Linked DNA regions of Arabidopsis thaliana. The protein of the gene in region 1 interacts with the protein of each later gene in a pairwise test. Each region holds a gene or a part of one and is shown in the gene's direction. Other genes may lie near its edges.

Region 1 (4,114 bases):
TTCAGGCCTCGTTGGAGTCCCACCGTCCTTAGCAAGTCTTTTCATAAGCCCTGCATAGAATTTCTCCGCTAGCTTCGGCGATGCATATTTGTGACCATCCGTTGGCCATCCAACCTAAAGAAAAACATAAACCAAACTCAATAACATTCTTGATAAATATATCTAATTAATAACTTGCTTGTCACGTTACCTCTCCAACGATAATCTTCATATCGTGAATCCCAGCCTTCTTCAACGCGTAAACAAGTGTGTCGTAATTGGCGTCAAACACGTTATCATAATTCTTTCCTTTGTCAGTCATTGTCTGACCATCACCGTCAAGAAAAGCGAACTCAACGGGAAAATGCTCGTTTAGGTAAAGACTAAGGAAAGGGTAAATGTTGACGGTGAAAGGTAAGTCGTTTTCGTGGAAGAAATTGACGATATCAAGCATCGTTTGTTTGACATCCTTGCGGAAATCACCTTCTGATGGCTTGTCGTTGGCTGATTGGTAAACTTCTGCGTTTTGTGGGATCGTGGCTTTCATTATATTGGTGTGTCCAGCTTCTTTTAACGCCTTGTGAATGTTCTTTAACGCTGGAAATGTTGTCTTCAAGAACGATCCGTTGTATGCAGACAAAAACGGCTCGTTCCCCACGGCTACGTACCTAGTGAATGAATTCTCGGTCAAATATACACCCAAAACAGCGACTTTTACCGGTTTGTAGGTATTTAGATGAATATAATGTCAAATTTATTATTATTATTAAATTTTAACAAGAAACTAAGAATATTAAAAATTAACAGGAAAAAAATTGTCTGAATAAATGAAATCATCTCATTGGTGCGATTTTGTTCAAATTGGAAATAAATAGCCAACCAAAATCGATCTATTTATCAAATCGGTTTATCATGTAGTCGATCAGATAGAATTATGGTAAAAACATGATTACAAAAAAATGAAAAAGTTTTGAAGGTTACTTGATGTCGACGCCACCCTTACGAATATACTGGGTCACGTTTTCTTTAACCCAATCTTTAGCATTATCGTAATCATCTGCGAGAGACTCAAGAAGGTTATTAGGGATTCCAACCATAACCTCCATGCCCGTACCAGCCAAAGCATTCATCGTCCATGAATCAGCGTCAAAAAGCTTCACTTTATTGATCTTATTGTCCTTAAGCATCTGAACAACAATGTTGGGATTCAACGGATGTGATGCGATATTGCCCCAATTCACACCGAAGCCTCCGACCAAACTAGCCAGGGTCAAAACGGTCATTATAACCGTCCCGACGTTAACGAGCATCGCTGCTCTTCCGGCCATATATATTGAGAAGGCGACGATGGATGATAATTAGGGTTTGTTTGATCTCGAAGATGTGTTTTTGTTTTCTTTTCTTTTGTCTGGTTGATGTTTTTTCTTCTTCCAGTCGGTAAAATTCTTTTTCGTGTCTTGGGTGGTCGTTGTAATAGGAATGTTTTTAGGTTGTTAGTGAAAGATTAATTAAGCTTAAAATAAATTTCTATTTTTAGAAAGAATTACAAGCTACAAAGAGGTGTGTATTTTTTTCGGAATCAGTTAGTTTTTTTTTTTTTGGTTAAGAGAGTATATCGCTGTTAATAATTGGTCGAATTGCTTATTAAACGAATACATCCTTGAAACAATGAGATAGCAGTTTATTAATATTAATTTTTGGTATATAAATCAGTCTGAACTCAAAATATGTGATTAGCTACTATTTTCATTGAAGATCCACAAATTATTAACGGTTTGGTTCTACACATAAAAAAAAAAATTCGTGGACCAAAGAAAAAAAAAACAGTCCAAAGCTTCAAAATTTTTGTCTGCAAAGCCAATAGTGGGGCCCAGGTTTTTAGATATATGGGACCCTTAAAAGTAGCATGAAAGCCACGTGGCAGAATCTCTACAGAGTAAATGCCACAAGTCTTTCTTCTTCTTCTTCTTCCCTTCACCAATAAGGCAATAATCCTTCTTCTTCTTTCTAAAATCCCTAAATTACAAATTGTTAAGAACTTGGACAATTCTATTTCTAGGGTTTGTGAGATTCGTTCGGACTCTAATGGGGAAGAAACGAAAATCCGAGGCTACGCGGCTCGATGAGGTTGATCGAACCATGTATGGCGCGTTTCGAGGCGCTGCTAATTCGCTCTCGCAGCTCTATACACATGCCATGAATCACCAACGCGTTTCTTTCCTCGCCGGTGAACGTCGCGGAATGGTCTCTGCTCTCTCTCTCTTGACCTTGTTTTATATCCAGTTTCGATTTTTGGCTTCTGGGTTCGATAGATAGAAACATAGTTGAAAAGTTTTCTTCTCGTTGCTTGTTTTGATGTTGGTTGACTATCTTGAATCGTAAATTGAGTGCTTATGTGTTGTTGGGTTTCTGTTTGCTCTCGAGATTTTAGAGTCACAGAATGAATCATGGATATTCAATGTTGTTTCTTATGTGTTGTTTTGGTAAAGTTGATCTCTTTGGCTTGTTTATGTTCGATTGATTGTCGTACGTGAGTTAATTGGAGACACACTCTGAAATTGGTTATGATCTATGAAGCTAGTTTAGATATGAGGCTAAGCAAGCAGTCTTACTGATAAAAGTTGTGGCCTTTTGATCTTGAAGTGCTTACTTTTGTTTTTTACTAGATTGATGAACTAGGATGGCTGTTCTCTTTTGGTGGCAGCTTGACGTTCTTGGCGTCATTCAATAGTGATTCATGACATTGTAGTATGAGATTTGAGGTTTGATTGGTCCATTGAGTTTTACTTTTTTCTTTCTTTTTACAGGAGAAGCTTTACCAATGGATTGTGAGACAAGAAGAACAAGGAACTAGAGTATCCACAGCTGATATTACTACCTACTTACAGGTACTTTCCTTTGAAAACAGTATCTCGTTTCTGATTACGCTCCTGCTATGTAATTGGAATTCAGATTGATTATACCTCTCTTGACTAGCTACGCATTAAAGTCCCAACGATCTTTAGTTTGATCTGAAAGTTATTCGTGTTTACCTTTTAAAACCATATATGCAGAATGCGCTTGAATATGAACCTGAGGAGACGTCGATACCACTCCCCATGCAAGAGTTTTATCAGCACCAATTCGCTCCACCAAACGTAAATACATCAGTAGCTCATGTTCCTTCAAGTCACATAGCACAACAACAACATTATGATTGTAACCAAGAGAAACTCTTGATTCCACCAAATGGTCTCTCAAGTCCGGTTCGAAGAACCCTTCAGGACTTCAACTTGTGTGAGGCTGAGTCTGGTAATAATAACTACAATCCCAACTCTACAGGTGAACACTTATCTTACTGAATAAAATCTTGTTTCATTTGCCGAAAGATGAAAAACATAAATCATTCCATTGTAAAGTCTCAATTGTTTGTGGTAAAGTATTGTCTCATGTAATACACAAAACACTTTTTCCTAATCTTTCAAAGAAGCTGGATGAATGTGAATTGACCCTTAAGATAGACAAATCTCTGATAGTGATTTTGTCGATAGGCGATATGATGATTTCATGTCTTGTCTAAAGCTCTCAAGACTTAAATGTAGACTTGTTAACAGTGATGAAAGAGAGACAAAGACTAATGATCAAAATTGAAGCCAAAACCTTCCATGTGCTCTCATGGTCCCTCTTTCAATTCAACTTGTCTGCAAAAACATTGCCCTGATGTTGATCTTCGCCGAGCTACGTGGTTTATGCTAATCCTCAGAAGAAACTTCTCGTTCAAAAATCTATGGACAGATAAAAACAAAAGTTACAGAATCACACTTTCTTCTTCTTTTGGTCATGGTGTTATCTGTACTAACAAGACATTCATCAAGGTGGTTGTCTGGAGATTGTCACTACATCTTGGCACAATGACATTTTGGCTGATTTCTATCTAGATTTTTTCCAAATTTTGTGTCTTTTTTTATTTGCCACGGTGTTTTCAAACGTAAAAGTCTAATCAACTCATCTAGCTAATCATATAAACTAGAGCTATAATAAAATTTGAAAGTGTTCGAAACAACTTGTCACTAAGAATTTATAAATAATTAGGTCCACACATAATTATTTCAGGAGTCAGGTCATAGGTCCATATACATTTCAATGGGGTATCAAA
Region 2 (4,219 bases), 230 kb from region 1:
ATAAGAGAATACATTTTCAAAACTAAACATAATTAAGTGATAGATCATTTTATCACTATAATGTAGTCGCATATATGTATATATATAATTTTGTAGGATTTTTAGGTTAACTCAATTTTTAGCTCTTAGTTGTAAATTTGTCATTTTTTAATGATTTGGTAAGTATAGTAGATGAGAAATCGAAGTTGAGAACCAATTCTATCCGTTGAGTATAAAATCATCAATGGTTTTAGAAGACCGGATTGGTTTAGCTAAATCGAATCATGATTGTCAATAATAATTGGAGAGAGAAAACGTATAATGAAGTAGTATTGAATATTGTATCATGTTTGTCTTACTGTCTAATCGATCCACCCACCGATAATAATAGTATACTTTTTCTGATATAGTAAATAGTAACGATCTCTTTGCCCGTATACGATGAACCTTAATGACAAAAATACAGATCTATCAAGAAAGAACGATGTCGTTATTATCGTATATCCCATGTGCGTAGCAGACCTATCGGGATAATTTTTGATTACTGGTTATGGTTTTATTGTTGTCGTTACCGTTGGATATTTGCTGTTTTTCGTTTTATTTATTTTCTTTTGTCCATTACTATCTCTTGTGTTTGTTGCTAGTAGTAACAAGAGTTGGAGATAGCTGTCAGAGAATTTTATATAGTTGAATAATAAATACAAATATTATAACCCCAAATAAAACGGGTACATATACATTACAACATAACATAACAACGGAAGAAGACATTTGATAGCCTGTAAAGGTCATTTTACAGTGAATCCAGAAGGTTCGTATTAATCATTAAATTAAAATATAATCGGTATTTGACAAAATGAACTGAATTATAGTTGGCAATTTTATGAGGCCCATATGATGCGAAACCAACCGACGATTATACACTATACCTACAATTTTTATTGCACTGACTCGATTGATTAATCCCTAACTAAAAGTTCAAAATATTTGCATCCAACTTTATTTTCATTAGTGTGAACATCAATATAAAGAATTGAGAAGATCATTACAGGTTGTTTCAGATGATAACGACAAGTTCGTTATATATGCACTATAACTTGCTTTGTTACATATGCTATAAAGTTCATTTGCAATATATACGATTTGATTACATCAGTGTGGGATTCCTAGAGGATGAATTAAGTGTTAAAAATGAATCTATACATAGTAGTTTGCTTTGAATCCATATGAAAAAACTGTTGAGGTTTAATGTCGAAATTTCTTTATCTTTGGCTTCGGCTGCAGTCAAAATTGCCGAAAGACCACCTCGACTCCAAACCATTTTCTTGATAATTGTAAAAAAAAAAAAAAAAAAAAACATGATGTCCCATATGCGTGTCTAATAATATATATAGCCAAGAAGCATATATTTATTTAGGGGAAGAGAATGCTAAAGCATGAGTTTTGTGCTGGCTTTATGTTGTTGTAACTCTTAGAGCAACATGTATTCACTTCTAACTGAACTTTACATAATTTAAAGCATGATTTGGATTATCTAAAAAAAAGTTAGATTATGATGAATATACAAGTTTTTTTTGTTAGTGGAAAACTCTCATTTCTTCGAGTAAGCTTCTCCATACATAATTTTCATTGTCTATATATATATTGATCTATTTGTAATTGTAACTCTTGAAAGTTTGGAAAATATTTGTAATAAGAGATAAACAATGATATGGGCCGATATTTGCGAAACTGATTTCAAAGGATTCTTCTTTATGGGCCTATAGAGTTTTGGGCCTTTCTACCAAAACTTTCGCGACAAGCGATATGTTAGGGCACAAGGACAATTCGAAACCTGAGAAGAGAGCTAGAGCTTGTCAGATGTTAGGATACTCCTATCCTTGTTTCCAAACGGGATTACGGTTAACGACGGCGATGGCGCCGGAAATTCACCTGAAACCGAAGAACCCTAGAATTTTATGCCTTCATGGATTCAGAACTAGTGGTCGGATTCTCCAAGCCGGTATAGGTAAATGGCCGGACACAATTCTCCGAGATCTCGACCTCGATTTCCTTGACGCTCCTTTTCCGGCCACCGGGAAATCGGACGTCGAGCGTTTCTTTGACCCACCGTATTACGAGTGGTACCAGGCTAACAAGGTTCGTTGCAACAAAATCCTAAATTTCCTTGAATTCAGTATTGATCATTGACACTGTTAACACTATCAGAGTAAAGGTTGTTTTTTTTCTCTAGAAAACAGAGAGATTTGGTCTAAGTTTGTATACATAATTTGATTTGTGTGTGTGTGTGTTTGCAGGGGTTTAAGGAATATAGGAATTTTGAAGAGTGTTTGGCTTATATAGAGGACTACATGATAAAGAATGGACCTTTTGATGGTCTTCTTGGTTTTTCTCAGGTTTGTTTTGATTCTTTGGCGAGATTTTAGTACTGATCACTTTCATATATATCAGCAGGAGGATCGTGGACCGTTGATTCTTGATCCATTCTTGCAGGGAGCTTTTCTAACTGCAGCTATTCCTGGAATGCAAGAACAGGTACATAACTGCATAACTGATCATAATCCTGGTTCTGAGATTGAATCTGCTTATGATATTTTGAAGAATGAAACCTATTGTTAGAGTAGTTTTCTATTGTTCTGTTTTGAGCAAGTGTGTGATGTTGAAACCATTTATATGCAACAGAGAGGTTGAATCTGAATTGAAGAATGAAACATGTTGTTTTAATAGTTTGAGTAAGTCTGTGATGTTGTAAACTGTTTTGTAGGGATCGGCTCTAACTAAGGTGCCAAAAGTCAAGTTTTTAGTTATCATTTCTGGAGCGAAAATTCCAGGGTTGATGTTTGGGGAGCCTAAAGCTGCTGTTAATGCATTCTCATCTCCAGTTCGTTGCCCATCACTCCACTTCATAGGTAAACTGTTACTACGTTGCGCATGTTCTTGACTTGATTTCTCGGTTATGTTGTAATGCCAAGTTTCTGTTGTTTGAAGCTTACGTTAGTAGTGTGCCTTTAGTGTAGCCAAGATTGGCATGGGAGTGTTTAGACTAGAATCTAATCTGCAGCACTACATGTTAACGTTAGAGATTCTCTCCTACAACATTTGATATGACATAAGAGACAACTTGTTTGTAATTCTGTATCGGTTTTGCTGCAGGTGAGAGGGATTTCCTGAAGATAGAAGGTGAAGTGCTTGTAGAATCATTCGTAGAGCCAGTGGTGATCCATCATTCAGGTGGACACATTATACCAAAACTCGGTTAGTAAGCATGAAAGGCTGATCATTTAAGCTCTGATTTTTTTTGGAGAAATATGCAATTGAAATAAGTAACATAAGATCTGTCTCTTCTTAATTTACTCTAATGAGCTTATCTTTGTCTTCTGCAGATACTAAAGCTGAGGAGACAATGTTGAGTTTCTTCCAGAGCATTAGGCAGATGCTTTCTGATGAATCAGGTTCTGTAAGAAGCTTGATGTGACTGAGAGCTACTCCAGTATGGTTTACTTTAGATTAGATGATCTTGCAATTTTATAAAATTGTGAGATGTGATTATTCTTCTGGTTTAGTCTTTATCCAGGGACAATTCAATAAACGTAAATTATTAAATTTACCAACCAATATGGATTGCCCGTTCATGTAATTACAGTTTATAGAGAAGAGCCAAAGATGGTCAAATAGTTTGGTACAATTGTCTTCCTTTAAATATATGAGCAGCCAATATCAAAAACTCTATTCAAACTTTTTTCTTTGTTATAGGAAAAATGTTAGGAGAATTTAACAACAAAAAAAAAAAATGATGGAAGAACAAAAAATATGGAGGGGGGCATCAAAGAAGGTGAGTTAAATTATTGTCCTTTAGATGTATTAATGGTCAAATGGATCTCATGATAATCTATGAGTTCCACTTGTAACAAAGTTTTACTTCTTTTTCAATCTACCCCCTTATACCCTATTAACTTAGCCTTGTCGGTTGCTTTCTAGTCTTAAAAAAAAAACAAAATTTCAACTCTTTTTTTATTCTTGTATGAAATAATTGATTGAACATATCGAATTACAGATCATATGATTACCCCTCATTTCAAAATAAATATATGATAAACAGTAGACGTCGACATGGGTTGTGTAATTTCAGACTTATATGTATACCCATCATAAGTATTCTCACGCTTGCAAAGCTTTAACTGTTTAGTTTTCATGCACTTTTAACAAATCATCATCATAATCTATTTTCAACAATTTGCTT

What was found.
Region 2: the proteins of AT5G64780 (region 1) and AT5G65400 interact in a two-hybrid assay, tested with the Arabidopsis thaliana proteins (one large-scale study listed by BioGRID).

The regions. Positions count from the first base shown.
Region 1 is NC_003076.8:25,899,906-25,904,019, reverse strand, and holds AT5G64780 (holocarboxylase synthetase), read left to right. Parts: upstream 1-1,892; 5' UTR 1,893-2,064; coding exon 2,065-2,223; intron 2,224-2,786; coding exon 2,787-2,867; intron 2,868-3,032; coding exon 3,033-3,320; 3' UTR 3,321-3,608; downstream 3,609-4,114. Other genes in the region: AT5G64790 (O-Glycosyl hydrolases family 17 protein), read right to left, coding at 1-114, 191-647, 961-1,307.
Region 2 is NC_003076.8:26,129,609-26,133,827, forward strand, and holds AT5G65400 (alpha/beta-Hydrolases superfamily protein), read left to right. Parts: upstream 1-1,674; 5' UTR 1,675-1,785; coding exon 1,786-2,118; intron 2,119-2,276; coding exon 2,277-2,375; intron 2,376-2,472; coding exon 2,473-2,514; intron 2,515-2,743; coding exon 2,744-2,888; intron 2,889-3,132; coding exon 3,133-3,234; intron 3,235-3,362; coding exon 3,363-3,454; 3' UTR 3,455-3,692; downstream 3,693-4,219.